Daphnia pulex: one gene and its partners. The protein of the gene in region 3 purifies or fractionates together with the protein of the main gene of each other region. This does not show direct contact. Links are inferred from orthologs where the notes say so. Each region holds a gene or a part of one and is shown on either strand. Other genes may lie near its edges. The genes, in order: serine protease HTRA2, mitochondrial-like; muskelin-like; armadillo repeat-containing protein 8-like; ubiquitin-conjugating enzyme E2 H-like; zinc finger MYND domain-containing protein 19-like; E3 ubiquitin-protein transferase MAEA-like.

Region 1 (4,655 bases), on a different chromosome or scaffold from region 3:
TTTCGGTGATATTTTAATTAGAAATTGACGTAGGTGCTCGTTAGTTGTCGCCGCCTAGCGGTGATTGTTGGTTTACCACTCTATGATTCTCTGGTTTTGTTTTGGTTTAGTTTGATTAGGTGCGTCTGCTATCTGTGATTCTCTGGTGATTCTCTGGATTCTGTTTGTTTTCTTTCTAAAAACCATGGAAGAGTTTAGAATTCTGAGCGCTAGGTGGAGACAACCAACGAGCACCTCTCCCGTTCCCCTCAAAATTTAAGCGCAAATATCTTTTTTTTTAATATCTTCACAAGAAAGGTGCTTTGGAGACTTAGAATAGCTTTTTAAATCTCTATCGATTGACCCTTCTTAAAAAAATATGATTAAAAATCCACCCGACAAGCTATAACATGGCGGGATAGGACGAGTGTCCCGTCCTCTAGCTTAAGTAGTCCATGGCCTGCCCTGTCCCGTAGCTGTAAGCGCCACGGCGGGTGTGTGGGGAAATAGGGTATAGGAATAGTATAGGAATGGAGGGAAAAGTGGAGGAGTAGTAAGAGTCGAGATCGATATCTTAGCTCCGATTTTCACTATCGATTGCTAAAATTGGCTTCAACCCAGAGCTATGATGATGGTAGAACCACTGCCTGTAAAATTTTCCTCTCGGAAATTTTTCCTAAAGTTGCAGCCAATATCGCGAATCGAAAGTGGGAAAATGAGCTCAAGTATCGATTTAGACCTAATTGTCAGCGCCAACAGCGGCCATCTACTGAAACTTTGTTAATTTTTTGCTTGCTTGACAGGAAAACGATGACAACACTCGTGGTGGGAATTGTTGTATTTAATAAGACAAAATCATAGACTAAGTTTAAGTATGAATAACTAAATAAAAAGTCCTATTAACACCATAATTCAACGATCAATTCTTATACGCTAGGATGTTCTTTATTTTTTAATAAAAATAGAAAAAACTTAGGTCCTATAGTTTATAAGTTATCGTCACTTTACTTAGGGACTATCGGGCATAAGAGCCCGTGTTAAACCTTTTTGGCGGCACTGTAAATTTTTAAAAATGTAACAACTTCTAAATTATACAACTAGAATGCCGTTCGACAGAAAACATTCATATTTGGTGATATGATGTAGCCTATCACAAGGTATCATTTCATGACTTTCTTTTATTTTTAATATTTTAAATTCTGTATTTAATTTATAGTTAAATGAAATTTTTTATTTAAATTCAATATTTTTAATAGTAAATATAATTATTTCTTCGGAGGGTTTTGAACAAGTATTTATTACCTTGATAGTAATAAAGTTCATTAAAAAAATCAATTCTTGCAGTTTGTTCTAGGTTAAAATATAACTTTACTCCACTATGGTTATACATCTATAACTCTGCTTCAACCCCAGAGAAAATTTCCGAGAGGAGTTAACATGGCAGTGGCGCTAGTTACCAGTATTCTATAGCTCTGACCAGAGCTCTGCCATAGATAAAGAAGACTGGTTTCGCATGTCCTATCCTTTTAGCCCTATCCCTACTGACCCCGAGTTTCTGTTTTGCTTGTCCTGCCCCTAGCGGATAAACTGCTGTACTGCACCGTGGCTACCAAGGGTGTTGCAGACGAAAGTTGTTTTCCTTCTGTCTTGGTAAAATTCTTTGCTGGCGTTTAAAAGTTCTAGGTAATTTTTTCATACAAATTTTTACTTAAAAGTCATTTTGTATTAAATTTTGACGTTTGCCAATTGCAAAAGTAGAGAAATCAATTGAATGATTGCAATGGAATAGATGTAAGCAGAGTGTAGAGAACAAAACGTACACTAGAGGGCAGGACAAGCAAAACAGAATCGGGAAAATCGGAGGAAGGGTAGCAAGAATTCTGGCGACAGTTGGCCATGTTAATTTTCTTATGGACAGCATCAACCAGTGGTCTTTGTCTATGGCTCTGCTCTGACCGTATTTTGGGATGAACAAAATTAAGAGTGGCAACCCTGCCTTGAACCATAACAGTAGCTACAATTCATAAACAGTACAAATGTCTTCGATTTATCGTATGATAAAAAAACTTACTTTTATAAACCGAAAGTTTGCCGTCCTTCGTTATAATTCCCTTAAAAGTCGAAATGAATTTTTGCAGAAATACTGTTGGTGTAATATATCGTGGAAGTTAGCAGGAGTTGCCTTAGGAGCTTTCCTGTTCGAGTTCCATTTACACAATAATAAGTTGTTTGCCACTTCTAAAAGTTTGGATTCATTTCATAATAACTTATTTTATTATTTGGGTCATTATCCATTTTCATTTGATTATTGGATTTTAAGGTGGTGAACTTAATGATGAAAGTCCAAGAAAAAAGTGTAATTTCATTGCTGATGTTGTTGAAAAAGTGGCTCCTGGAGTTGTTTTTATTGAAATCAAATCAAATTTAAGGTTTCATGCAGTTATTAAAATCTAATTTTCTTTTGAATCACATTCAACCAACTTAATACTCACATTAAACAAAATTTAAATTTCACATTATGTTTTGCAGGAATTCTTTTTACAATTTTAGTGCTCCACAGCAGACTGTGTCTCATGGGTCAGGTTTTATTATTGAAGGTGATGGATTAATTGTAACAAATGCACATGTTGTCCTTGGACAACCAAATAGTTCGGTACAGGTAAATCATTATGGATGAAATGATAGAGTAAATACTGTATAAAATTGATGGTGAAGTATTAAACACAATGAGTAGGCAAGGAAAAAATTATGCCCTCAATAATATGGAAATTTGTATCTTTAGGTTAAGCTTCATGATGGAAGAATGTTCCAAGGGATTATTGAAAATATTGACACAGTAACTGATCTTGCTACTGTGAGAATTCAATGTGTAAGAAAAACAGCAGCATCTGTTAAAGATGATTATCTCACAAAAATAACATCTTATTGGTTCCTGTAGAAAGGATTACCAACTCTGAAGCTTGGTTCCTCATCTACTGTCAGACCAGGAGAATGGGTAGTTGCAGTTGGCAGTCCTTTATCTCTAACAAACACCATCACTGCTGGAGTGGTATCCTCTATTAATAGGTAAATAAAATAGTGTAGCCTATGTTTAAAAAGCTAAAAGGTATAGCCTATAATTCTGTAAATCTCTTTCTAGGGGAAGCTCAGAGCTTGGATTAAATAAAGGAAAAGAAATGGAATATATTCAGACTGATGCATCAATCACTGTAAATTTAGCAATAGTCATTGTTCTTGTATTTTTAAAAACACAATAACATATGGTCTTATTTTCAGTTTGGTAATTCGGGGGGCCCACTCATTAATCTCGACGGAGAAGTAGTTGGTGTCAACGCTATGAAAGTTACTGCAGGCATTTCTTTCGCAATTCCCATCGATCATGTAAAAGATTTTCTCTCCATTCTCAAGAATTGTTCTTCAAATAAAGGAGTAGAAAAAGGTATTATTCTTTATTAATTTTATGTGTTACAAAGATATTTATATCCAAGATCCTCAGTGTTGTATGTGATTATGTTTTTCCATATATTTTTGTTGTTGCTGTTAGAAAATACTGAGAAGGAGTTTAAACGTCGTTATATGGGTGTTACATTGTTGACTCTTACTACCGAACTGATAACCGAACTACAATTGAGGGGTACTGAACTTCCACCTAATGTAAAACATGGTGTGTTGGTATGGAAAGTTGTTCTTGGAAGTCCGGCACATTGGTAAGACTACGCTAAAATTGTATTGTTTTTTTTTCAAAGATGGATTGATATAAAGATTTTAATATAGGGGAGGACTTCAGCCAGGTGATGTCGTTGTGTCGATAAACGATAAACCTACGATAAATTCTCAGGATATTTACAAAAATCTTGAAGAAAATGAAAGTCAAATTAAAATATCAGTCATCAGGAAACGAGAAATGATTAATTTCCTTATTTCCTTGGAAGATTGATCAAATTAATCTTTTCTGTTTGATTTGTCATGCAAAGAATAAAATTTTAAAATCAACATGAATTTCAATTCTTTTGTATACTTGCAGCTCCAAGAGTTTTTAGTCTGATTTGAGCTTTTGAGGTAGTGATTGTGGAAAAAATTTTGCCCCGCAAGAAGTTTGAATAATCGAATAAGCATTTTTGGCGGGCACATAGTCATACAAGCACTCAGAGCCATCTACTGTTAACAAAATAACTAAATATTGGCGGTGGAATGGAGGTTGTTTGCAGACGGCTCAGTTTGAAATCTCCGGCGTGAAGTCTCCCAGTTTACTAGTTTGCCTCATGAGATTATCTGTTTAATGTTTGTATCAATTGCACTGCTTTTCAATACAAGAGAAACCATCTCTTTGTGTGACAAGAAAGATGAACAATGATGTGAATAATGAGAAGAATTCTGACAAAGCAGGGTCTGAAAAGAAGTTCATCCAAATTTCTCCTGAGTCCATTCAGCTCATTGCTGATTCAGCTGGGTATCCAAATGTACCATCAATTCTTTCAAAAAGTCTTGCTGAAGATACTTCGTATAGATTGAGGGAATTAATACAGGTATAGATATTTTTCTTCTTTTATCATAACTTATCAATTTCAATTGATTGAATGCTTCTTAGAGCTGCAGTCAGATTTTACGTCACAGCAAACGATCTAAACTAACCAAGGATGATGTTAACCTTGCCCTTCGTTGGAGTGATGTTCCAC
Region 2 (4,611 bases), on a different chromosome or scaffold from region 3:
CCGTTTTACCGTTTTCTGTTGTGCGACATTGCTCAAATATTAGCAATTTAACCGCTTGAGAGTCAACCTTTACGGTTTCGGGGTTGCCTGGATGGTTGGGGGCTTCTGTCCATCGTATAATTCCGGTTCTAATTACTTTCTTTTTCGGATTAATCATTCTTGCACGCCTTACAAGACTAGTTTCGGTTGCAGACAAGTTGGCGCAAATTGTTTGAAGCGGGATTCGGACTTCAAAACTTGATTCACTGCTATGGCCTCTTGCTTTGGCCAAAAACTCTTTCAACCTCAAACCCTTTGGAAGAGCTAGAAAGTGACCGAATTGCACAGTGATCGAGGATCCTTGCTTTGCTCCATGCCTCCACGAACAGTCGTGATTTATCAGAGCGAAATCAACTAGAAGAGAGGAACTTGATGGACGATTCCAAGTTGTTAGATGAATTGTTACATTGCTGAGTGTCCGTGTCCGTGCCAATGCCTGCAAAGATGAGATCACTTGATCACCAATCCCTCGATGATAAAGGTAGATATTGTCGACTCCAAGTAGCGAGTAGTAATGTATGAAATCGGCAAGATCATCTATGTGCCAATAGGGATCATTCGATAATACACAAAGAGATGTTGCGTGATCTTTAGGATGCGTCGGGCCAAGATGCAGCGGAACTTTAAGCGGTTGTAAAGACGATTTACTGTCGTAAAGGGAGAAGAGGTGAGAATTGCCGATCATTTCTGGAACATTGCAGACAACCGAATATGCCACGTAGTCGTTATCTGTTTCGATTTGTTTCCATTCAATAGTTCCTTCAAATTTGTCATCATTGACATCTCCAGATATCAAAGCACACACAGTGTTTTTCATTGAAAAAGAAGAATTTCGTTTCACAACTGCCACACTGTTTAAACTCCATCCTTTTTCGTTTGCAACCTTGAAGGCTGCATAAACTTGCACTTCTGAATATTTGTGCCAGAAATCAGGAATGAATTCAACAGATCCATTAGAACAGATTCCCTGAAGTTCATATGTTTGGGGACCATCTGTTACTGTTGAGCCAAAAACATTCAAGACTTCCAAGACATTTCTCAGCCTGTCATACTCGTGTTTGTAAATAACAAAACACACCAAACTGACAACCGATAAGATGAAAAGAATTAGTTGGTAATATTTCCTCATGATTCTCCCTCCTGAAATAAAATCAAAACTAAGTTAAGTACTTGTCAAAAAATGGCAAACATGGCAACAAATTCAACACATAAAGGGTGCCTTTAAAACTAATTGACAATAAAATAAATGCAGACAATATCAGACTAAACCAAACATAACCGTTTTTACCTGAGGAACGTGCTTCTTGCATTAAAAATGAAAAGCTAACGCGTTAATTAGGTCATGATAAGTTATCTAAGCAGATTCCGGTTAACAACTTCAAATCTAACTAGGGTAATAAACGTTTGAAAACGTCACGAGTAGCACAAGAAAATTCCGGTGAACAGTTTATACTGCTACAGCATACGCGGAACGCAGCGCAGCACACGTAAAAACTCAGCTGATGCGACGCTCATCTTCCTTCAATTGTTTTTTTCCACAAATGTTTCCCACTTTTCCCAGAGTAGAACTTACCATTCCTTTGGGAGCTTTTTTTGTTGTGAAAACGAATCTCAATTTTTCCCAACTGAAAATTGAAACATCACTTTCAAATTTTTACAATGGCAGAAGCTGGACTTGAAATGAAGAAACTTAATTATTCGGTTGACAGTTGCTCCAGTTTTTCCGCTACCTATTTCCCGGAGTAAGTTGCATTAAAAGACCTTGAGACTGCTACTCTGGCGCATGTTAAAATATGTTTACCAATATTAATTATTTGTATATTTTTTTTTAAATAGGAATATCATGAAAGATTTCCCAACAGATCAGGCATCTAGGTGGTCTTCCGATTCAAACATACCCCCACAGGTTTATATTATCTTAAGCATATAATTTGAACAGATGTTGTAGATAATATTTCTTTTTAGTTCATACTTCTTAAATTGGAGAGGGCATCACTTATTGAAAGCATCACCTTTGGAAAATATGAAAAGACTCATGTATGCAACCTTAAAAAGTTCTGTATATATGGGGGGCTCCATCCAGAGAACTTGGTTGAGTTACTTAACAGGTATAAAATCAAATATTGTACATGATTTACCCTTACAACTAAGCCCAACCATTTTTCTTGCAGTGGTCTAAAGAATGACAATCAACCAGAAACATTTTCTCTGAAACATCTAGTTGAAGGGAAAATGTTCCCCTGTCGTTTTGTTAAAATTGTTCCTGTTCAATCATGGGGACCCAGTTTCAACTTCTCCATTTGGTATGTTGAGTTGGTGGGTACTCAAGACTGGGAAGCAGTTAAACCATGTATTCAATGGTACAATGCTTACCGGGAAAGAGAGGCAATAAGATTGTGCCTGAAACATCTCAGGCAAAATCAGTGTCTTGAGGCATTTGAATGTTTGCAGAAAAGAACCAAAGTTCAGCTTGAAGATCCTTTACTCAGTGAACTGCATTGGGTATGCATAAGAAGTCCCTCTCTTTCGGATATCCGTTGAATATTGACTTTTCGTAGGCCATGGTGGTTAAAGGCGATTACGAAGCGACCGAACAGTTACTTCATCGAGCCGTCGACAATGGTTTATTCGGTCCGTACATCCATTCTCAAGACTATGTACCAGAGTGGTCAAGAATTCTTCCGTGTATCGACGAGGATCCTTGCCATCGTCCTGGTATGAGAGGCGGCCATCAGATGTGCATCGATGTAACTATAATAGAAACTAAATTTTAAAATAGTTAACGAACGTTAATATCAAATGTCTTGTTTACTCGACAGACCAACACAGAGACCATATATCTATTTGGTGGTTGGGATGGTGTCCAGGACTTGAATGATTTATGGTCTTATTCAGTACCAAGTAATTCATGGACGCTGCTGAGCAATAATACTGAAGAAGAAGGTGGGCCTAGTGCCAGATCTTGTCACAAAATGTGTCTAGATCAGGATCATCGCCAGCTGTTTTGTTTGGGGCGCTACCTTGACAGTCAACACCGACACACCAATAATCTGAAGAGTGACTTTTACATGTATGACATTGAACAAAGAAAGTGGCACCTGATTTGTGAGGACACTGCTGCCGTTGGCGGCCCTAAGCTGATATTCGATCATCAAATGTGCCTAGATCCTGAGAAGAGAACCATCTACGTTTTTGGAGGAAGAATACTCAGCCCAGCGCCCGGCTACCCTGAAGAACGAGGATTGGCAGTAGCTAGTAGTAGTGGCATGGCCGGAGCTTTTCTGTCAGAACCTCAGTTTTCCGGACTCTATGCTTATCACATACCAACGAGCACATGGCGCTTATTACGAGACGATCCATCAGGCTCACCAGGATTAGGTCCCATCGAAATGCGGTCTCGAATTGGCCACTCGATGTTATTTCATCCGAGCGAACGCAAGTTATTCATCTTTGCGGGTCAACGAAGTACGTTTTAAATATCTCTATCAATTCTCGTTCACACTGTTAAACTATTTAAAACATTTGCTCCGCACGACAGGCAAAGAATATTTGAATGACTTTTTTACCTATAACGTGGATACGGGTGAAGTGACGACTGTGACAGACGGAACAAGACGAAGAGACCCGGCCCAAATTCCAGCTGCCGGTTTCACACAACGTGCCACCATCGACCATGAGCTCAACGAGATCTATATCCTTTCTGGCCTAAGTAAAGACAAGGACAAGCGGGACGACAACGTCAAAAATTCCTTCTGGGTTTACAATATTGTTGATAACAAATGGTATGATACTCATCTTGTTTTGAAAAGGATTTTGTCATGAGAAGATTATGTTTGCAGGACGTGTGTCTATCGAAACGATAGTTCACGTGAGAAGGAGTCGGACACGAGTAATAGAGTCCCAGGCGAGGAGCCATGCCCGAGATTTGCCCACCAACTGGTTTACGACCATGTCAAAAAGGTCTGTATCAAATGTCGCAGTCAATTGGAAGTTCCATTTACTCATGCGAGACATCAATTGACTGTTTTCACAGGCCCATTACTTGTTTGGAGGGAACCCTGGGCGTTCTAACGATCCCAAGATGCGCCTTGACGATTTTTGGTCACTTCGATTGTGTCGTCCAAGTCAAGGCCAATTGCTGACGCGCTGTCAATTTCTGATACGCAAATGCCAGTTTCGCGAGCTGACTGAGGCTGATCCTATACGGGCTATGTTTTATCTACAGAACAATTTGTCAGCTGTTGTGGATCGTACCAATGACGAACAAATGGCCGAATTCCACCAATTGACCAATCTTCTCTTCCGCACCGAAGAACAACAGGAAGAAGATGAATTGTTAAACGGCAAAGTCGATGCCGAATCGACAGTTAATAGCTCCTATAGACTTCGATCGAGTGTTTTCGACGCATTAGCTCGTTTTTTTCCAGACTACATGGCTCAACCGAGATTCAGTCTCACCGACTTTGTCGCGTTTGATAAGGCTTGATCACTAAGATCAAATGCCTTCTCAAATGGAACCGCAGCTTAACATTTCAATAACCCTTGCCCGAAACGTGTTCAGATCCCAGGTCT
Region 3 (4,971 bases):
AAAATGACGGAGGTAATGCGAAGATTTTCTTTATTAAATAATACTGACGAATTAATAATTTTGAATAGCGTGCCGAAAATATGATTCACCATATAGTAACCGATTTGAGCAAAATGGACTACCTTAAAACAGATGGTTGAACTCTTTTCAATTTACCAGAAAGGGGAGATAGCAAAATGGCTTGGAAACGACAAACCAACGTACAGGAAAAGGCAAACAGAGAAAAAAGAGTTCAATGTGCGCTTGTAGCTGCAATTTTTAACGTATTGTAAACGTTAAAACAATTAATAGCAAAGACCCACCCCAAGTTGACCAGAACAAATGAAATTCAATAAATAAAGGGGTAACTTAATAAAGAAAGCTCAAACGTCTTCGCGATTCTATGGGCAAGTTCATCGGAATGTTAGCCGGATGAGGCAGTCTCTCCTTCATCACATTGGCCCCCACCAGACAGACGATTTTCCTTCTTTTGGCGAGCAAGTTCACCGCGACGATCCTACAACCGCACACAATTATTGTTAACGGCATCTTTTACATTAGGAATGAACAAAAATAACAAATTACCTGTTCCTTGAGCTTCTCCAGCATCTCCTTTTCAATCTCTTCGCGTTTTTCAGCCGCCAGTTGAATCTTGGAATGGATTTGCTCCTCCATGGCTTTGGTCTTTTCTTCACTGCTCTGTTTGACAGACTTGATATGTTCTTCCTGCAATAAATTAATTTAAATTAATTTCTAGTTTCCATGCGAATAATTAAAGACATTATTACGTGAAGGCGTAGCTTCTCTTGAAGTTGTTTGATGATTTCGTCACGCTTCTCATCAGCTGATTTCAGCTTCTCGTCAATTTGCTTTTGGATCTCTTGAAGCTTGGTATCGTTAGTCACCCTGACTGTTTCCACTCGTTCCAACTAGGCACGATGAATAAGTTTACCAGATAACTTATCTTTACAATGAAATACACTTACATGCTCCTTCAACTTGGTCTTGAGAGAGTTCAAGTGAGCCTCTCTCTTCTCCTGAGATTCCTCCATCTTCGCATCTAAATTTTCTTTGGTTTTGGTGACAAAAGTTGAGACAATCTCTTGCCTCTTTTGCACAGCTTGGTTGATTTTCTCATCCACATCATTGATGGACCTATTAGCCTGGAGAAATCACAAAACACCCCTAAGTAACTGTGACGAGTTAATTTGCTTCTTTGACCAACCTCACGCCTTTCCTTGGCCGCCAATAGCTTCCTCTCAATCTCTTCTTCAGAGGGCTGAGGACGAGTTGGTGTTGAAACAGTGAGTGGTGAAGGGGGGCGATCGCTTACTGGTTCTGCTAAGATAACCTAGTTGACAATGAACCATGAAGTTATGTTTCAGTGAACATGTGGCAAGACTTTACCTCATAACTCAATCCTCCCTTGGATTTCTCTTCCCCACGAATAGCAGCAACTGCAAGCACCATAATACCAAGAGTTAGGCAACTCTAAACCACAAAAGATTGACCAATGAAATCCTACATACCTTCTTGATCAATAGGGCTAGACATAGCTGTAGACACCTAATCGATTAAGATCAATAAAAAGATTACGTCATGAATTCAGGCGTGGTCCTCGTCACGATCAATTCCAACAAAGGAAGTTTAAACAAGGATTCACAATTCAATTGGCAAGTACAAATATTAACCCTCTACTCAAATGACAGTGTAAATTAACGTTGAACAATCAATTACCTTGGCAAAGACAAAATTATAAAGGAAAAAAGTCTCGTGGAGGAGTTCGAACCAACGTTCTCGTTTGCAAGCGAAATGGCGAATGAATGCAAGTGAAATAGAATAACGAAACTGGCTACTGGGGTTCAGTTGACATGGCGACCGCCTTTTGTTACTTACCCCCTCCCCATTTTTGCGGGCGCGGGAAAAGTGAAAACTCTTGCCCTGCAGCTGATTTTTATGAAAAACGAAAACTGGCGCCCTTTTCAATTTTACAACGCCATCTAAAGTGAAAAAGTTGCACTATGTACTAGTAGCGTCTGCTAGCAGACAATCCGGCTTGAGCCATTTTCGAACAGAGACGCATTTTCATTTGGGAAGAAAAATGACTAAACTAATTCATTCAATCATGGTAAAGAATTCGGGACATTTTTCCATTCTGGTTATTTTTATCAATTATTTGGTCATTTTAGGACGTTGAGAGCTGTAACTCGTACGTTGACAACCTTTACGATGTAGACAGTGCAAAATGCCTAGATGCTGTCATGTAAATATTTTTGTATTTGTATTCCAAGAAAGGAAAGTGATAATCCAACAGTTGTTTTTTCATAGATACATCAAAAACATGATTATCGGTTCCAACAAGGCCAAGAATATGATCATTCAACAGGGTATTACTCCAAGATTGATTCAGTTACTCGACGATCCTATTGGTGGTGATGATCTCAAATTGGAGGGTAAATATCACATTCAGAAATAGGGTGTCACAACAATAGATTCAATCGGTTTTCTTTGTTGATTTTTAGTGATAGCAGTGATTGGATCCCTTGCACGAGGAGATGAAAACCACATTAAATCCCTAACAGCAGCGGGAGTTATTCCTTTCCTACTAAACAGTAACGTGATTTCCTTTGTAGCTAATTTGAAACTAAAATCTGAAACTTTTCTTTTTCATGTGACAGATGTCTGCGCATCAACAAATCCTCAAGTTATTGAATTTGCCCTCAGAGCCCTGCAACAGTTATTTCAGAACGAAGCGACAAAGACTGACCTCCTGTTTGCAGATTCAAGATTGGTGCCCCAGCTGTTGAAACTCATGCCACTGTCAGTTTGCAACCAAATATCTGTCACTTCCATCTTTACCAATGCCTGCAAGGTGGATAGTACAATGTCAATAATGCCTGAAAGATTGATACATTTCAACTTTTTTGAACCTAGACGTCTGAACACCAAGCGATTCTCTGCGCCAACGGAGCCGTTCCAGCCCTGGCCGCTTTGCTCAATTCTCCTGTAGGCGATGTTCAGTTAGCCACTTTGGACGCTATCGCTTCCCTGTGCTATCAGAACCAACGCGTTTCGGCCCTTCTGACTGTCTCCAGCTTCGGCGGCAAATCCGTGACGGACCACTTGGTGACTTTGATGGCCCGTGACAGGCCGGTGGCCATGCAGCTTGTAGCAGCCCGCTGTCTGACCTATCTACATCGAGCTGGAGCGATCTGTGCTGACGATGGCAAGATCTTGTACAAGACATTGCCTTGTCTGGTGCGGATGTGCCGGAAAGAGAACAGGCGAACGGAAAAGGCTCTTGGTGCGGAAACACTGGCCTATCTGATAGAAGTTGACACGGAACTGCAAAGAGTGGCCTCCATTTCCGACCACCTCATTCAAAATCTTTCGCTATTTTTGGCTAAAACTCGAGATAACTCGTCGGTGCAGCAACTTGGAGTCGAGTCGATTGACGAAGACGCTCCTGCCAGCGCCAAAGAAGTTCAAAATCTGAAACAAGCCGCTCTCCGGGTAATTCATTCAATTCCATTCAAACGAGAAAGAGATACTTAATATGATTCCTTGTCAAAAGGCATTTGCATCGTTGGGCGCCAATGACGAAGACATCCGTAAAAGGATCATTGAGACGGACCAGTTGATGGATCACGTGGTGACGGGATTGACGGAATGTGGGGATCACAGAGTCCAGTTGGCTGCCGTCCGGTGCCTTCATTCTCTGTCTCGATCTGTCCAGCAACTACGAACAACTTTTCAAGTAATTCAATCACCCCCCCAAACAAATTTGAGCCAAGGTCTGTAACAAGGTGACGTTCAATTCAATTAGGATCATTCAGTGTGGAAGCCGCTGATGAAGTTATTGCAGAATGCGGACGAAGACATTTTGGCCGTGGCGTCGTCGACGCTGTGCAATTTGCTGTTGGAATTCTCGCCGTCCAAGGAGCCCATCCTCGAGTCTGGTGCCGTGGAACTTTTATGCAATTTGACGCGTAGAGAAGATTCCGCTCTGAGACTCAACGGCATTTGGGCCCTGATGGTATTTGTTCATCGAGTCCAAAGACAACAAAATTGATTCAATTGACCCCCGTCTTATATTATATAGAACATGGCGTTCCAGGCCGAGCAGAAAATCAAGATTCAAATCTTGTCGTCGCTGGGCACGGACCAAGTCTTCCGGCTCCTCTCTGACCACGAAGTTGGCGTCGTCATGAAAACGCTTGGCTTATTGAGGAATTTGTTATCGACAAAGCCGCATATTGATTTGATTATGGCCCAGCACGGTCGTCAGATCATGCAGGCCGTCATTCTGATATTGGAGGGCGAGCACAGCCCCGACGTCAAGGAACAGGCCCTGTGCATTCTGGCCAATATCGCTGACGGTGAAACGGCCAAGGAATTCATCATGTCCAATGAGGACGTCCTGCGCAAACTCACCAATTACATGGTATCTAATATTTTTAAATCCATCCATCGCCTCCCAAGTTTAATACGTCAATTCTATTTTCTTCCAGTCGCATTCGAATGTCAAACTGCAGACGGCCGCCACGTTTTGCATCGGCAATTTGGCGTGGAACGAAGACAACGGCTGCCTCGAACGTCAGGCGCGTCTGAGGGAATTGGGCGTTTATCGAATTTTGCAGCAACTCCTCTGCACCAACGACGCCACACTCTTCGAAAAGTAAAACGTAGAATTTCATTGACCTTGACGTTGCATAATAACGTTTCCTTGTCTTTAACAGGGTCAAAGCGGCACTGCAGCAGTTCTCCTAAACAAATCGGAAGTCTCCTACACCACGCCCCTATCAAATATTTGTGTATTTTACATAATTTGGAAATACTCGGAATCCGGCAACTGTTTATGTCTCATAAGATAACTTTATTATCATCATTATTATAATTCTAATAATAATAATATATGTCTTATTATAATCTGAAATAATCGGTTGGCGAAAAAAAAAGAAAGATACAAGATAAAAGCCGGAATCTTCTTTT
Region 4 (4,477 bases), on a different chromosome or scaffold from region 3:
GCTACCACTTCTTTGGAAAAATCCGTCAACAGCACGCGCGCGTGACTCTGTCCCGATGATAACAACGTCGAAAAAACATATTTTAGAAATCTTATTTTTTATTTTTTATTTATGTGTATGTGTGTGGTTAGCGACAGCAGGCAATAAAAAGATTTTCCTTCGTGTTGACTGCTTATACAGCCTACGCAAAACAGTCGGCCAGAATCACAATATAAACAGGTGCGTTTATCTTTGGGGTTGGCCGTCAACGAGACACACATTTCTTCCCCCACCAAACAAACGTTCCGGTCGGGTTCATTTGTTGGAACACCTGTGGCCGATATCATTCAAAGTGAAAGTTTTCTTTTGATTGAGAGATTTGTTTGGTTTTAAGGTTGCACTATAAAATGTCACCTTTGAAACAAACAAACAAAAAATTGACAAAGAATTATTTATTTATTTATTTTTTTAGAGATTTTATTTTTCTTTGAAAAACCAAGTATTCCATCCCGACATACAAATTTCTTAAAATCGCTTGGTTTCATTTCCAACTAAAACAAAAAATCGATTTTTTGTGGTCCGCATATTCCGCGGTGCTGTTACATTCGTGAAAAAAAGAAACAATCGAATCTTCTCTAATAAACGCACGGTCAAAAATAGTTAAAGGTGAAACAAAAGTACGAATTAAGCTACAAGAAAAGAAAAATCTATTCGATTCTCCTGTCAAGTGACGAGAGAACCAAAACAAAAAGAACCTAAACATCTTGTCAAATTGCTACCGAGCCTGTGAAGCTCCGCTACGATACTTTTGACATCTCGACACACAAATACACACACACGCCGCGCATATACGTTGATATTATTGTCTTTTTTAAAAAGTGTTTTTTTTGGGGGGGGAAGATCAAAATGAGTTGATGAGCGATGCTAAATCCACACGAAAGATGTCAAACAAAAAGATGAATTATGTGATGGAAAAAAGAGGGGGGGCTCTCACTCTAAAACATTTATTCTCTGACTGCCCAAGGCATCTCCACTTTTTGAATGAAAATGAAATTTTTGCTGCTTCTTTTTAAAAATCGGGAAAAGAGCGGAGGGAGGAAAAAATTGGTTTTGGCAATTATTTTTGTTATTTTTTTCTAATACAGAAATTTTTTCAAAAGGATTTGAAACATCCCGAGAATAATTAGGATGCAAAGTTTTGTTTCCATAACAAACGAGCAAAGAGAGAGAGAGAGAGGTGCCAGAGGTGGTGGGTGATTTATCGCAATCATTAATATAATATAGCCCATTATCGGGATGAAATTTTGTACGATGAAACCTTTCTTCCGTTCAACGATGAATGAATGGAAAAAAAGAAAAAAAAATGTTAGCCACTTCAATGAGAGATAGAAGAAGAGGGGGAGAAAACGTAATAAACGACGAAATTTTTCATGTTAAAACAACGAAAAAGTCTCATAACTCCATGTCCTGAGCTTCGTCCTCACTGAAGTCCGACATGGAAGATTCCGAATCTGACGACAGGTGAGCGGCTTCTTGGGCTTCCTGCTCTCTTAAAGCCTCTTCAGTTGCAAATTTTTTCACATAGTCCTTGTCAATAGAAAAGGTCAGGTGTTACTATTGATCTATACGGATTGACACATGTCAGACATTGAAAATGTACCTGCACTTTTTTCTTGTACTCTTCGGGTTTGTGAAGATACATGGCTGCTGCATCGCCATTCAGTGGATCAATTGGATTTGGGTATGTGAGAAGCTGTGGCAGAAAAGACTCGAAGATATTGGACAAATCTGCAGATGAAAAGACAATGTCTCATTATTCATAAAGATTTAAGTACATTTAATGCAAAATACCATATAAAGCTGTCCAAGCTTGGTTGATGACATCAAGACAGACTGTTCCTGAGACCTCGTCAATGTTTGGATGGTAAACCTTGTTCATGAATCCAATAGATGGTGATTTGAACGGATAGTGCTCTGGCAAGTGAACTCGGACTTTCCAAATCCCTCCTTCATACGGTGCTACATTTTTCAATGAAATAATGACCTGAAAACAACCATGAATGATTTCTCATCACTTACTTCCTCTTGGACCATAAAACTTGACAGCAAATTCATTAAGTCCTCCAAGGATAGTGACCTCGTATTTGCTTTCAATCCTGAAAACAAAAACAGCGGGTATTACAATAAAGACTGTCAAAAACAATAATCCACAAACAAAAGAGTTTGAAGCAAAACATGTGTGAAACTCAAGGCCAGATATGATTCTGTTAAAATAATAACTTACAATTTAATGACATCTGTGTCCATTCGACGTTTTCCAGCACTGGGCGAGGACATTTTTGTTTGCACTCCAAAATCGACCACCTCGCGGAAAACTTCAGTCTGGGTTTCCCCCTCGAAATAAGAGTAGGTCCCCTTCTTTTCAGGTTAGACTCGATTGATTTGTGAAATTATTTTCGCCACAACTAATAAGAGAGGACACAATGGCCGACTGCTAGTCCCAAAAATTCTAATCCCTTCTCGCCTTGTGTGTGACGTCACCTTTATTTATAAGCAGCACGAGGAAACTGGTCTCTCAAGGTATTGCCTTTTGTACAGTAAAACAACAAATGCAGTCGATTAAAAACGGAAGAAAAACAAGCTTAGAATCTTGGAAATTATGTACTACCCAAAGATTTACGCAGCGAGCAAATGAAACAAACGATGAGCTTAGCACACTCTCTCCTGTCCTTCGCCACTGGCACTGTACGAATAACCATAACAAAGACAGAAAGGCTAAAAAATCCACCAAGTCAGCTGTGGCTCGCCACATTGGGTTTTGCAACCTACGCTCCTTTATTTATCGCAGTAAAATGGAGGTGGTTGCATAACTCTGCAAATCTAAATTACGTTTAATATTTTCCCTTGATTATTCCGATTACTTTCATGCATTTAGAATCATGTTTCGTGTTAGTTTTTTAACGCAGCCCTGGTCGTGTGGCCGTAGCGCGCGTATTTTGAAACGATGGATTGAAAATGTAGGTCAGGATTCTGCGCGTAAACAACTCCGTCGTATAATGGAGAAAGGACCAATCACTATAGACTAGTAAAACTGGTTAAAAATGAGAGAATTTGTATCGTTTGAATAGGTCGTCGAACGTGATCACGATCAGGCTGAGAGTCCAACGTTTACATTTCCGACCCAGTATCAATTGCTTATTTACATAAAAGATATGGTTACAATGAGCTATCTGAAGGCATGTTTACAGCAAAGATTCCTATGGCTTTACTCTCAAAGTTTTAGCTTGATTGTATTGCGTGATAGCGAATTTATTGATGGCTAATTAAAATTAACTCATCAGCTGATTTCGTCTGCCTTAACAAATTCAACGTGTCATTAGCAGACGAACGAACTGTAGGGGAAAAATAAAGAATTACACGTTCAAATCACAACAATAACTCGTAAGATTCGTGAAAAAATGCTTTTGCTTGCTACACGTTTTAAGCATTTATTGCCATTAACTTGAAAGAATTGTTGGCTGGGAATGGTGAACGTCATGAATGAGATCAGACTCATCTACAAAGCTGCCGTGGATGCCGTGAAGCCTGGTCAACTTGTAAATCAAGCAGTCAGATGTTTAGGAAATGTAGTTACAATTAAGGAAGAATTGGAGATTGAAGTTGACAACAACTGCCATGTGATCGGTATACTTTAGTATGAAATGTGTCTAAACAATATTTATGAGTTCACTTTTTGGATATATAGGATTTGGAAAGGCTGTGTTAGCAATGGCTCTCCAAATGGACACAATTATTGGGCACCACACGATGAAAGGAATCATCTCAATACCACATGGAGTGATGTCACAGTACAGTCTGCCAGATCAGTTTCTGAAACGGTACACCATCTATGAAGGTGCGGTCAACAACATTCCCGATGAAGAGTCCTTAAAAGCAACTAAAGAAATAGAAGAAATGGTTTCAAACTTGAAAGACTGTGATGTTTTGTTTGTATTAATATCAGGTATTTCCTTATTCCGTATTTCCTAAAGATTTTAACATTGCTAGAATTAATGCTTTTATTTACAGGAGGTGGATCTGCATTACTGGCATCACCAGTAGATGACCTCACTCTGGATGACAAGCAGAAAACCATACAACTATTGTCAAAGAGCGGTGCAAACATACAGGAATTGAATTCAGTAAGAAAGAAACTATCTCGAATCAAGGGCGGGAAACTAGCTCAGCTTTCATACCCAGCTACAACCGTGGCTCTAATTCTCTCTGACGTTATCGGCAACCCACTTGATGTCATAGCCAGCGGACCGACTGTCGAAAATAAAGATCCACAGAACAGAGGCTGGAATATCATTCAGAAATACCAGTTGGAAAACCAACTGCCTGTAAAAGTAGCAAAGTGTCTCTCGTTCACGTCGCCTAGGAACGAAATTTCATTCGATCACGTCCGGAATTATTTGATTGGTAATATTAAAGGTTGAAAATAAATCTTTAGTAGTCA
Region 5 (4,777 bases), on a different chromosome or scaffold from region 3:
ATCATCAGGATTTTTTTTTTCGGGAGCGGGGATTTTTATTTGGACCGGATGCAGAGAAGGGGGGGGGAGGAGGAAGGTCGATTCCGGATGCTCAGAAGCCTCGTGATTGTATCCTCAACGATCGATCCCGTCTCCCATCCGTGCGTGCAATTTCTCTTTTCCTTTTTCTTCTCTTCTCTTTCGGTTGTTGCTACGGGATTTCCTCCTTATCCTCCTCCTCCCCCCCATTTGAAGTTCCCGGAGAATCCAGCGGGAGAGGAGGAGGAGGAGGAAACGAGTTGAAAAGGGCGGCGACGGTGGACATTTTTTCTTTCTGTCTCTCTCATCCCGCGTCTGTGTGTCCTCTCCCATCAAACGGAGCGAGCAAAAGGCGCGGACGGAGAGAGGAGCCAAGTGTCTGGCTCCCGAAGAGAACCCGCACCACTACATTCACAACCGATCAATACTTTCATGTTTGGGTGGGGTAGGAAGGATGGGGGGGGGGACTCGTCCTTGTATGATCCGAGATCATTCAATGGGACCAGCCCCTGAGAAGTCAAGGCCCAGGCCAGGCCTGGGCCGCCACTTCATCCGCAGTCTATATTCCTCTGACTGGACTAGTCTGTTCTTCTCTTGCCCAGCAGCTTGTCTCTCTCTTAGTGTTTTTTTGTTTTTGTGTGTCAGACTTGACTACTTAGTGTGTAGAGTTAATCTAGTTAGACACACAGACTCTCTCTTTCTCTCTAATCTCTCTAAACTCTTGTGTTGCCAATGACGCCCGGATTATCATTAAGTTGTCGCCTAAATTAGATAAAGAATCAAGGCGCACACATATAATGCACACACACACATTAAGGGGATATCAAGATTGGCCTTATCATCGTAAAAAAATAAAAATGAAAAACTAGACGGTCTTTTGTTCTCGATTCATTGCGCGTCCGTCGGGGGGGAATTTTTTATAAATTAAAAAACACACACACAAAGAAGAAACGCCGTGATGAAACAACAACAACAACAACAACAACACGAGCTTTTTCTCAGGCAGATATTCTTCGAGTTGATGTTGAAAAAGTCGTGACTGTGTGTCTTTCCTCTCTCTCAGTCCAGAGAGTTGATTGCTTTTCATCATGTTTATTCTGATTCTATACGTAACCCAAACCCTTCAATCGTGTAATACGCAAATAAGTCATCTGCCTCTTCTTCTTCTTCTTTTTCTTCATTCCCCCGCTTGAATGTTTGGAAATAACAAACGGGTTTGAGCCCTCCGGGGCATCAATCTGTTTGTGTGTGTGCGACTCGGGTCTATACTACACCATGGCAGTTGCTACTTATTTCTTCTTTTTTTCTCGAGTAGACGATGACAACAAACAATAACGAAATTGTAACCAGAGCTTCTTGCTTGGGTTCCTTCCGGAGCTTCCGGCACTTCCGGCGTTTGTTCATTCCCTCTTTTTTTTTTTTCGAGTAAAGTAGAAAGTTCATTGTTCGGACTGTTTTTTTTTTGTGGTGTGAACCGCAGACTATACTACCAAGGCTAAACCAACTTTTATTTCATTTTTAGGAAAAAAATAACAGATGAAATATACCACCACCACCACCAGGTGATGAGCGGACGCCGGCTGACCACTGAAGGGTTTCCCTCTTTTTAAACAACTTTTAAACAACAGTAGTGGTGGCAACATCCTATGTGTACTAATTCCTTACAGAGGGGTGGTTGGGAGGAGAACATGACAGCTCTCAAATAAAAATAAAAAAAAGTAAGTTAGACTCCCTTTTTCCGGAATTGAAAAAAAAAGTGATATTCACATTTTCGGACGGAAAAACATAATCAAACTTCCGCTCCATTTAGTTTTTTTTTTACTGTAATAAAAAAAAACTTTGTTCATTTCAGGGGAAACAAAAAAAACACAGCAGGGATTGATGAGCCATTGCAAATGGACACGCATTCGACAACTATTCCAGTAAAGCTTCGCTTCTATTCTCAACTTACACATATTTTTTCAAGATCGAAATTTTCCCACAGTGAAACAAAAAGTTCCCGAGTGAAAACAAAAAGAGTGGAAAAAAACCACAGAGAAATTTTTTGGTTTTTTTTTCTCCCCCGAAACCGCAAAATGTCCGGTTTCACGGCCGCGCCGAGTCATCGCTTTGACTTTGAGAAAAAGAGAAAAAAAAAACAAAAATTTTGAAAAAAGATTTCCGAGTTCGTTGTCGCGGTGAGGAGACAAAATCCGGTCTTGTATATCTTATATTTGAAAACAGCCCCACAATAAGTTCTTATTGGCGGTTGCCATAGTTCCACGTTAAAAAAAAAGGAAAAAAAAAGAGACTGTTTGTTTGAGAGACGGCCTTATCGATGACTCGTAGCGACACACACAAAGTCCAAAACGAAATTTGTTCTCTTCGAGTTCTCTTATCACTTTTGGTTATTTTCTTCTTCGTCTGTATATTTACTTTGACCTTTTTTTCTAGCTCTCTCAGTTGAACTTGGCATCATTCAACCCAACCGCTTGTGTTTGACGTCAGTGTACCGACTGTGCCGCCGTCGTCCATGAAACTATCGCAAACACGAGTCTCTGTTTGGGCTCTTGTTGTTGTGTAACTACACCTACAGTATACCATAGGCTCTCTTTTTATCTTATCCCAACCGAGTGATTTCCCGTAGTCGATCCATAGTCATTTTTCTATTAAATTTTCTGCCTGGTGGAGGGGCAGGAACTCAAATGTATTGATCCTTCCTTCATCTGTGATATAGGATAGGGTCCTCCTCCTCTTTTCATAATATACAACCGACGTGGGGATAAACCGTTTGCCCAGAAAGATTGACATTTGCAATCCAACGCAGTGTCAATCTCAGTTTTTTTTTCTCCAAACATTTTTTCAAGATGAAGAGTAGCAAAAAAAAAAAAATATTTTTCAATTGAATTTCTTAAACGGACTGAGATAGAGAAGGACGGCTGAGTGACAGATGAATGCCGAGAGGGAAAGGATTGAAAGGGGCCAACAGGCTAGTTGATCAAATAGTCAAAAAGAGATTTGAGAATACTGTTTGTGTTAAGAAATAAAATAGTATAAAAAAGAAAAAAACGAACCTTTCCAGCTGCCCGGCCGAGTCGGACAATGCCCAGTTTCAAACCGGAGACTTGTGAGGATGTTGAAGACGACGAGGACGAGGCTCCACTGGCGTTGGATGCGGGTAAGATTTTCATCTTTGAAAATGTGTCTCGACTCTCTCACACTGCTGGCAAAGGGAATTTTGTTCACTTTTGACACTGGCAACAAAACGAATGGCAAGAATTGTCGATGACAGTTCCATACACATCCAACGTATGGAAGATGCACACAGAACGATATATCTACGTATATACCAAAAGTTAACCAAAATCTAATCACATCGGCAAAACTAAATTATTTTTGGGGGTGGAATTATCTTTTTTTTTTGCACAAATCCAAATTTCTTCGTACACCACCCCACTTGCAGTAAATATAATGGACCGTGGCTAATGTCGAACCGGTCTAGTTGAGCTGTGGCCGACGACTGAATTTTCAGATGCGCTCGTCTGCTAGTAAGTAGAGACTCTCCGAGCGCGCGCACTTGAGTTTGATTTTTCTGCTGGTAGGGGGGCGAGAGAGCTCTGTGCACAAAGGAATAATGTGACTCTCTTATAGTTAGCCCTACACTATTTCACCATAGCCGGTTTTGTTGGTCTCTCTCTGTGTTGTCTGCACTGCTATAGCAGAACGGCTCACGATTCTCAGCTGTCGCCGACTCGCTCCACGACTCTCATGCACAGCCAAAAGGACCCGTTGCTTTTTTTTTTGTATGTGCGTGTGTGTGTTTGAAGAGAGATAGAGCATGCGGGTTGTTGGCTTTAGCAACTTCTTCCGTTGTGTGTGACACGGGCGACCGGATCGCTGACTGCTGTTCCCTCAGGCAATGTTAATGTACGTTATACTTCTTCTTCTTTTTTTCTTCTCCGGCTGTGTGTACGTGTTTCCCGTCTGTGTTGTATATATACGTCCCGTTAACAGTTTTTTTTCTTCTCTTCTCTTTTCTCTAGAGAGAGTAGAGAGCATGATTAAAAGGAATGGCTGAAAATTATCATAGAAAACCAGTGTTCGTTTTCAGTCGAACGGGCGTCAGCAGCACACGACCTCGTCACGATCAAGAAATAAAAACAAATAACAAAACTCACACCGGACTTTTTTTTTCTTTTTTTAAAATAAAATATAAAAAAAAAGTTGATGGAACAACAACCGCATCACCGGTTCGAAAAATATAAAAACGTCTTATCAGTTTTTTTAATCTGCTTTTTTTTAATAACCCGGGTAATAGCTTCAGAATAAACGAGTTCTGTCTTTTACTATTTTTTTGTGTGTGTGTTCTCGTGACTTTTTTCTTTTTTGAAGTTGTGGACTACATTATTTATGCAGGATTAGTTTCGATTTAATCCAATTTGGCAACCACCACGTTTTCACGTCGTCATGACGACGACGAGAAAACAATTCGAAAAGGCCGACAGAGTGCGACCGGGTAGTTTTACGCGCCTCTTTGTCGACTTGTTTTGTTTGTTGTGTGAATTATGGTGTGCAAGTGCAGGTTCCCGCCCAATTAATATTCTTGGCTCAATACACCTGTGGTGGTGGAGATTTTAATAACGTTTTTATCTGGAATCGATTCTTATTCTTGGTCTTTTGATTGTATTTCTCGTGGTTGTGAACTTGGGGTGTGATTCTCTAAGTGATGACAATCTAGTGAAGCCAAGACTTAAAAAACCCAACAACAAACAAAGCATTT
Region 6 (4,244 bases), on a different chromosome or scaffold from region 3:
TCCATACGTTTTGCGCAGTGATATAAGGGATTTGAGTCGTGACTAAAGCTATTTTTTAACCGACAGAGAAATTGTTTTTAGCTTCTGGTTTTGCTTTATTTATACAAAAGAAGCGTGGTAACTAACCCAAATCGTTTTGTTGATTTCAGATTTGCCGGTCGAGTATTAGAGTTCCTCGTCGGTTTATTTCTACTCTGCAATTCTGCCTTCATTTTGATTTACGAAAATGGTGGAGCCATTCGTGCCGTGCTGGTGGGTTTGCACGCTTATTTCAATTTGTGGTGTGAAGCACGAGTCGGTTGGAAGATTTTCACTCGGCGTCGGACAGCCGTTCATAAAATCGCCACCCTCGAGACAGTTAACGAATTGGACAAACTGGATGACGTTTGCGCAATTTGCTTTCATGACCTAAAGCCAAGTGGCCCTAATAATGTAAGTCAAATTTCGCCGCCAAATAAGATTGACAATGGCCTATAACACATTCAATTATTTTATTAGGTGACGGTCAAAGTAGTTGTTACTCCGTGCCGACATTACTTTCACGCCGTCTGCCTCCGCAAATGGTAATTCTCGGTATGAAATTATCACTGACACGATTTCGTAATGGTTTTTTAATTCACAGGTTGTATGTGCAAGATCGTTGTCCCATGTGCCACCAGACTCTTTGGTCGCAACTGAATTCTTCTGTCGACGAAGCCGCCGGTCCACGCTACGAAGATCAACTTCAGGAGCACTTACACTTGGATTGAATGAACCACCTAATGTGTATGCAGTCTATAATTTGCCGAATAGTTGATTGAATTGCTGAAAACTAGTTTAGAATGATCGTCAAGAACGCGTATTAAAAACCCGTCTTTCAAAGTCCTCGCATCATCAATAAAAACTGTCCGTGCACGAAAATAATGCTCAAGAATTTTGTATTGGAAGGTAGGGCCAAAAACAAGCTACATAACATAGACTTTCTCTGCATCTTTGACAGCGAAGACTTCCTTGGTGCGAGGACATGTGACCATTCCATTGTTGCTCGATGCCATAGTCCGCAAGGCCTGTCGATTTAAAACAAACATAATAGGGTTGGACTGGTGCACGAAACCTGAAATAAATACCTGCTCTCCGTACACACGGCCGTTGGGTAGCATCATAGGTAAGTTATGTTCGTTGAGAGGTAAGCCCGAAAGGCGGCAGATCAATCTTGATTGTGAGCAATGAGCGTGAGGTAATCGTTCAGCCAACTTGTTCAATGGTTCTTGGCACACGGGACATTCAGCATTCCTCTGATCCATTGGGCGATAACATTGCCTGTAAAAATTCAATCGATTAAAGTGAAAAATTGGAAATGGCGTTAAAACTTACGGAGTTTTCATTGCGGAGAGTCCAGCTTGCAACGCAACAGCCAACACAGACAATGGAGCCAACTGGTAGAGGCGGAAATAGTCTTGACGGAATTCTTCAGTCAAAGCATTCCACCTTGACGTATCGAGCAACTCCTTGTATGGTGATACCTCTGAAATGCGTACACGAATTAGTATCCTTAAATATATCCGGTTACATTTTTCTAGAACTCACGAGTGTCAGAAGGGAACGCAAGGAGGGCGAGAGCGTGTTGAAGTTCCTCCCAGGGCACATCGTCCATGTTGGTCAAGTACTTCCGGGCGTGCCGTACAGCGTCCATTCGGCGATCAGACCTGATGAGTTCGACAAATTCTTGTTGTCGGAGATGAAATTCCAGGGTAGATTTAATTTTCCTCAGTTTGCTTTTGTGATCGTGAATCCAGGCCAAAGCAGCTTGAGTCTGTTGCTGGGCCAGGGTCAATTCAACATTTCGTGCAACCAAGAAAATGTCCAAGTTAGTAAGCTCTGCCAATTCTGGATTCTGCTCAACCATTTTCTGAGCTGTTCAAAAAGAAACTGATTATAAGGAAGATGTTGGTATCCTAAGGATATTTACCAGTGTTGTAATGACCAGCTCTCAGTAGATGTTCAACAAGGTACCTTTCTACTCGAGTTTTTTTCCAGAGTGAGTATGTGATGGAAGAATCAGTAGTTGGAATAATACCAACAGCTCCCAATTTGAGGTGTTCCACCCTTCTTTTGCAGTTCTGAGCAGCATCCAGCTCATCACTGATGGCTTCTTCAACCTACATCACACATTCCATGTGAGTAAAATTATTAAATAATTATTAATTATTTAAATATTGGTGTAAAGGGATGCCAAGTTGGAACCTTTCGTTTCATTGTCTGTAGTTTGTCAACAGTAGCTCCAAGCAGACTGCATATTTGGTCTACTTGGACAGGTGTTCGAAACAAGCTTTTTTCCAACTCAGTGATTGAATTTTGTACATGTGACACTTCCCTGTCAACAGTTTTCTGCCCTGCACGGAATTTTTTATTCAAGACTTCGTATGGGACCTGCGGGTGGTGAACAAAAGAGAACCCAACGTAAGACAACCGATCCTTGTTAATGAAATAAATATTTTGAAAAACTGAAAGATTCATCACCTTGAGCGTTGGATGTTCCAACGACTTTAAATCAGCCATGACTAAAGGAAAATGGCAAGCTCTTCAAAATACTGCCTAATGTGATGAAAGTTGAAGAAGATTACAAGAACTTTGGGGGGAGAGGGTTGGATGAGAAGAAAGAGAAAAGTAAATAGTCGATAAATAACGCCATCTACTGGTGAGCAAAGTAACACCAAACCGTGTCATCTAGCGGTAATAAATATTTGTTTTCTTACGTCATAGTATACGAAGCCGAACCGTACAGCAGAGATATTTGGACTGGGTGGAAATATTCACGGTTGATTTCGTTGTCCGTCTCGAACTTAAAGTTCTGAATGTAGACACGTCCCGTACCCTAGCGTTTTCTCTCGAAAAGTTGGGAAGCCGGTTATGATCTCAACGAAAGCGTCCGTTGTGCGCCGGAGGGTGTCTGGTTTAAAAAAATCTAACCGCGACCACCATTTCCAAAGCTTACGGTTAATTTACACCACTTTGTAGATCCGTATCAAATTGTATCATTGTTACTGAATAATGCAAAGCACAAGTGATTGAAACGAAAGTTTCACAAACTTTGCTTTACTCTGTGTTGGTCCTATACTTGTCCATCTGCAAACTTTGTTATACTCGATGCTTTTATCTCTGTTGATCTCATCGGTTGGAATTCCATTACAGTTGGATGCAACCGCAATGAAGAAGAACAAAAGAATTCAGATTGGTCTTATCAAAGAAGTATATTTTTCGTGCGATAAATAACAAGGATGATAAGACGGTTAATAAGAAATAAATTGATTGTCCATCGGCGCCGTCATCATCTCTATTCTCTTGTCAGACGCGCCGAGAAGGAGAAAGGAATAGTAAACTATCAAGAAAAAGTTTTCCCCTTTATTATTTCGTTTCCTGGCGAATATCCAAGGACAACCGGACTTTACAAAGAGACGAAGAGGACCGGTCTCGGATACGCCTAGTATATAGCATAGCAGACTGTGGTCTTTATGTATTTTTGTTTCTCTTCCTAGATGTCGCTAGTTGAAAATCGACCATTTTCATACCGTATGCTTAGCACTTGGACGGCATTTTGGTCATGCTAAGTAACAAAAGTACGTCTAGAGCATTAACCTTAAACATTACTGAGAATGGAATGACTAATTAAAATTCTACAACATTCAAGCTATCCGATATGCTAAAATACTTGTTAATTAAAGGTAGGCAACAGGGAGTTTTCTAGGAAACAAAGATTTGGCGATTTAGTGTCTGTGACCAATTTACGTGTGCCGTATAGCGGTCGTCGCATCAGTCCAGTCCCGGTTGTCCTTGGATATTCGCCAGGAAAAAATAAAACTTCTACAATAGTTTTCCCCTACCCCGGCGCGTCTGACAGAAGCTGAAGAATAGAAACGATGATGGTGGCGACGGACAGCCAAATTCATATACTATTCACTTTTTCATTCCTTATTCTTATCAGATATTTCTTCTATAATACCTTTTTCTCATTTTTTTCCTTTAGATTTTTTTTCTCTTTATTAAATAATAATTCGCTGTACATTGTGTGATACGACCAAGAAACTTTATGTTAGAAATCCAAACTTTTTTGAGAAAAAAAAAATAAAACTATTCCAGAAAACGCTAGATTACACGGTAGAGATTTTTAAATTTAGCTTCGGACAACAAAATCCAGCAAAAATATTTACCCGCTCCAAAATTTTCCCGTGTTTCGTGCGCATTCGATATAGCCCAAGGCTTTTCTT

Evidence for each region.
Region 1: the proteins of armadillo repeat-containing protein 8-like (region 3) and serine protease HTRA2, mitochondrial-like purify together in Homo sapiens (affinity purification with mass spectrometry; 5 studies listed by BioGRID and IntAct, with this or other methods). This does not show direct contact. The link is inferred for Daphnia pulex from reciprocal best matches to the Homo sapiens genes ARMC8 and HTRA2.
Region 2: the proteins of armadillo repeat-containing protein 8-like (region 3) and muskelin-like purify together in Homo sapiens (affinity purification with mass spectrometry; 4 studies listed by BioGRID and IntAct, with this or other methods). This does not show direct contact. The link is inferred for Daphnia pulex from reciprocal best matches to the Homo sapiens genes ARMC8 and MKLN1.
Region 4: the proteins of armadillo repeat-containing protein 8-like (region 3) and ubiquitin-conjugating enzyme E2 H-like purify together in Homo sapiens (affinity purification with mass spectrometry; 3 studies listed by BioGRID and IntAct, with this or other methods). This does not show direct contact. The link is inferred for Daphnia pulex from reciprocal best matches to the Homo sapiens genes ARMC8 and UBE2H.
Region 5: the proteins of armadillo repeat-containing protein 8-like (region 3) and zinc finger MYND domain-containing protein 19-like purify together in Homo sapiens (affinity purification with mass spectrometry; 4 studies listed by BioGRID and IntAct, with this or other methods). This does not show direct contact. The link is inferred for Daphnia pulex from reciprocal best matches to the Homo sapiens genes ARMC8 and ZMYND19.
Region 6: the proteins of armadillo repeat-containing protein 8-like (region 3) and E3 ubiquitin-protein transferase MAEA-like purify together in Homo sapiens (affinity purification with mass spectrometry; 5 studies listed by BioGRID and IntAct, with this or other methods). This does not show direct contact. The link is inferred for Daphnia pulex from reciprocal best matches to the Homo sapiens genes ARMC8 and MAEA.

What each region holds. Positions count from the first base shown.
Region 1 is NC_060026.1:11,305,397-11,310,051, reverse strand, and holds serine protease HTRA2, mitochondrial-like, read left to right. Parts: upstream 1-1,963; 5' UTR 1,964-2,015; coding exon 2,016-2,223; intron 2,224-2,299; coding exon 2,300-2,408; intron 2,409-2,508; coding exon 2,509-2,638; intron 2,639-2,761; coding exon 2,762-2,848; intron 2,849-2,917; coding exon 2,918-3,045; intron 3,046-3,118; coding exon 3,119-3,188; intron 3,189-3,255; coding exon 3,256-3,418; intron 3,419-3,523; coding exon 3,524-3,686; intron 3,687-3,753; coding exon 3,754-3,916; 3' UTR 3,917-3,972; downstream 3,973-4,655. Other genes in the region: TAF6-like RNA polymerase II p300/CBP-associated factor-associated factor 65 kDa subunit 6L, read left to right, coding at 4,323-4,505, 4,568-4,655.
Region 2 is NC_060028.1:9,649,433-9,654,043, forward strand, and holds the start of muskelin-like, read left to right. Parts: upstream 1-1,533; 5' UTR 1,534-1,698; coding exon 1,699-1,781; intron 1,782-1,875; coding exon 1,876-1,945; intron 1,946-2,004; coding exon 2,005-2,147; intron 2,148-2,210; coding exon 2,211-2,541; intron 2,542-2,597; coding exon 2,598-2,786; intron 2,787-2,858; coding exon 2,859-3,504; intron 3,505-3,577; coding exon 3,578-3,821; intron 3,822-3,878; coding exon 3,879-3,999; intron 4,000-4,072; coding exon 4,073-4,525; 3' UTR 4,526-4,611. Other genes in the region: uncharacterized protein LOC124208606, read right to left, coding at 1-1,179, 1,328-1,349. UniProt on the Homo sapiens protein: Component of the CTLH E3 ubiquitin-protein ligase complex that selectively accepts ubiquitin from UBE2H and mediates ubiquitination and subsequent proteasomal degradation of the transcription factor HBP1.
Region 3 is NC_060025.1:9,364,799-9,369,769, reverse strand, and holds armadillo repeat-containing protein 8-like, read left to right. Parts: upstream 1-1,982; 5' UTR 1,983-2,080; coding exon 2,081-2,107; intron 2,108-2,168; coding exon 2,169-2,242; intron 2,243-2,307; coding exon 2,308-2,432; intron 2,433-2,501; coding exon 2,502-2,591; intron 2,592-2,657; coding exon 2,658-2,851; intron 2,852-2,913; coding exon 2,914-3,492; intron 3,493-3,553; coding exon 3,554-3,736; intron 3,737-3,805; coding exon 3,806-4,015; intron 4,016-4,081; coding exon 4,082-4,423; intron 4,424-4,490; coding exon 4,491-4,657; intron 4,658-4,718; coding exon 4,719-4,749; 3' UTR 4,750-4,915; downstream 4,916-4,971. Other genes in the region: stathmin-4-like, read right to left, coding at 404-496, 565-705, 768-908, 966-1,142, 1,205-1,330, 1,387-1,436, 1,509-1,533. UniProt on the Homo sapiens protein: Component of the CTLH E3 ubiquitin-protein ligase complex that selectively accepts ubiquitin from UBE2H and mediates ubiquitination and subsequent proteasomal degradation of the transcription factor HBP1.
Region 4 is NC_060019.1:1,501,106-1,505,582, forward strand, and holds ubiquitin-conjugating enzyme E2 H-like, read right to left. Parts: upstream 2,776-4,477; 5' UTR 2,648-2,775; intron 2,567-2,647; 5' UTR 2,317-2,566; coding exon 2,264-2,316; intron 2,136-2,263; coding exon 2,059-2,135; intron 1,999-2,058; coding exon 1,831-1,998; intron 1,768-1,830; coding exon 1,640-1,767; intron 1,567-1,639; coding exon 1,432-1,566; 3' UTR 872-1,431; downstream 1-871. Other genes in the region: glycerate kinase-like, read left to right, coding at 3,504-3,663, 3,725-3,982, 4,048-4,440. UniProt on the Homo sapiens protein: Accepts ubiquitin from the E1 complex and catalyzes its covalent attachment to other proteins. E2 ubiquitin conjugating enzyme that transfers ubiquitin to MAEA, a core component of the CTLH E3 ubiquitin-protein ligase complex.
Region 5 is NC_060023.1:10,669,683-10,674,459, reverse strand, and holds the start of zinc finger MYND domain-containing protein 19-like, read right to left. Parts: upstream 3,204-4,777; 5' UTR 3,189-3,203; coding exon 3,072-3,188; intron 1-3,071. UniProt on the Homo sapiens protein: May be involved as a regulatory molecule in GPR24/MCH-R1 signaling.
Region 6 is NC_060017.1:5,613,954-5,618,197, forward strand, and holds E3 ubiquitin-protein transferase MAEA-like, read right to left. Parts: upstream 2,659-4,244; 5' UTR 2,539-2,658; coding exon 2,500-2,538; intron 2,410-2,499; coding exon 2,224-2,409; intron 2,139-2,223; coding exon 1,949-2,138; intron 1,894-1,948; coding exon 1,567-1,893; intron 1,505-1,566; coding exon 1,354-1,504; intron 1,300-1,353; coding exon 1,107-1,299; intron 1,047-1,106; coding exon 945-1,046; 3' UTR 901-944; downstream 1-900. Other genes in the region: protein TRC8 homolog, read left to right, coding at 150-432, 499-563, 623-749.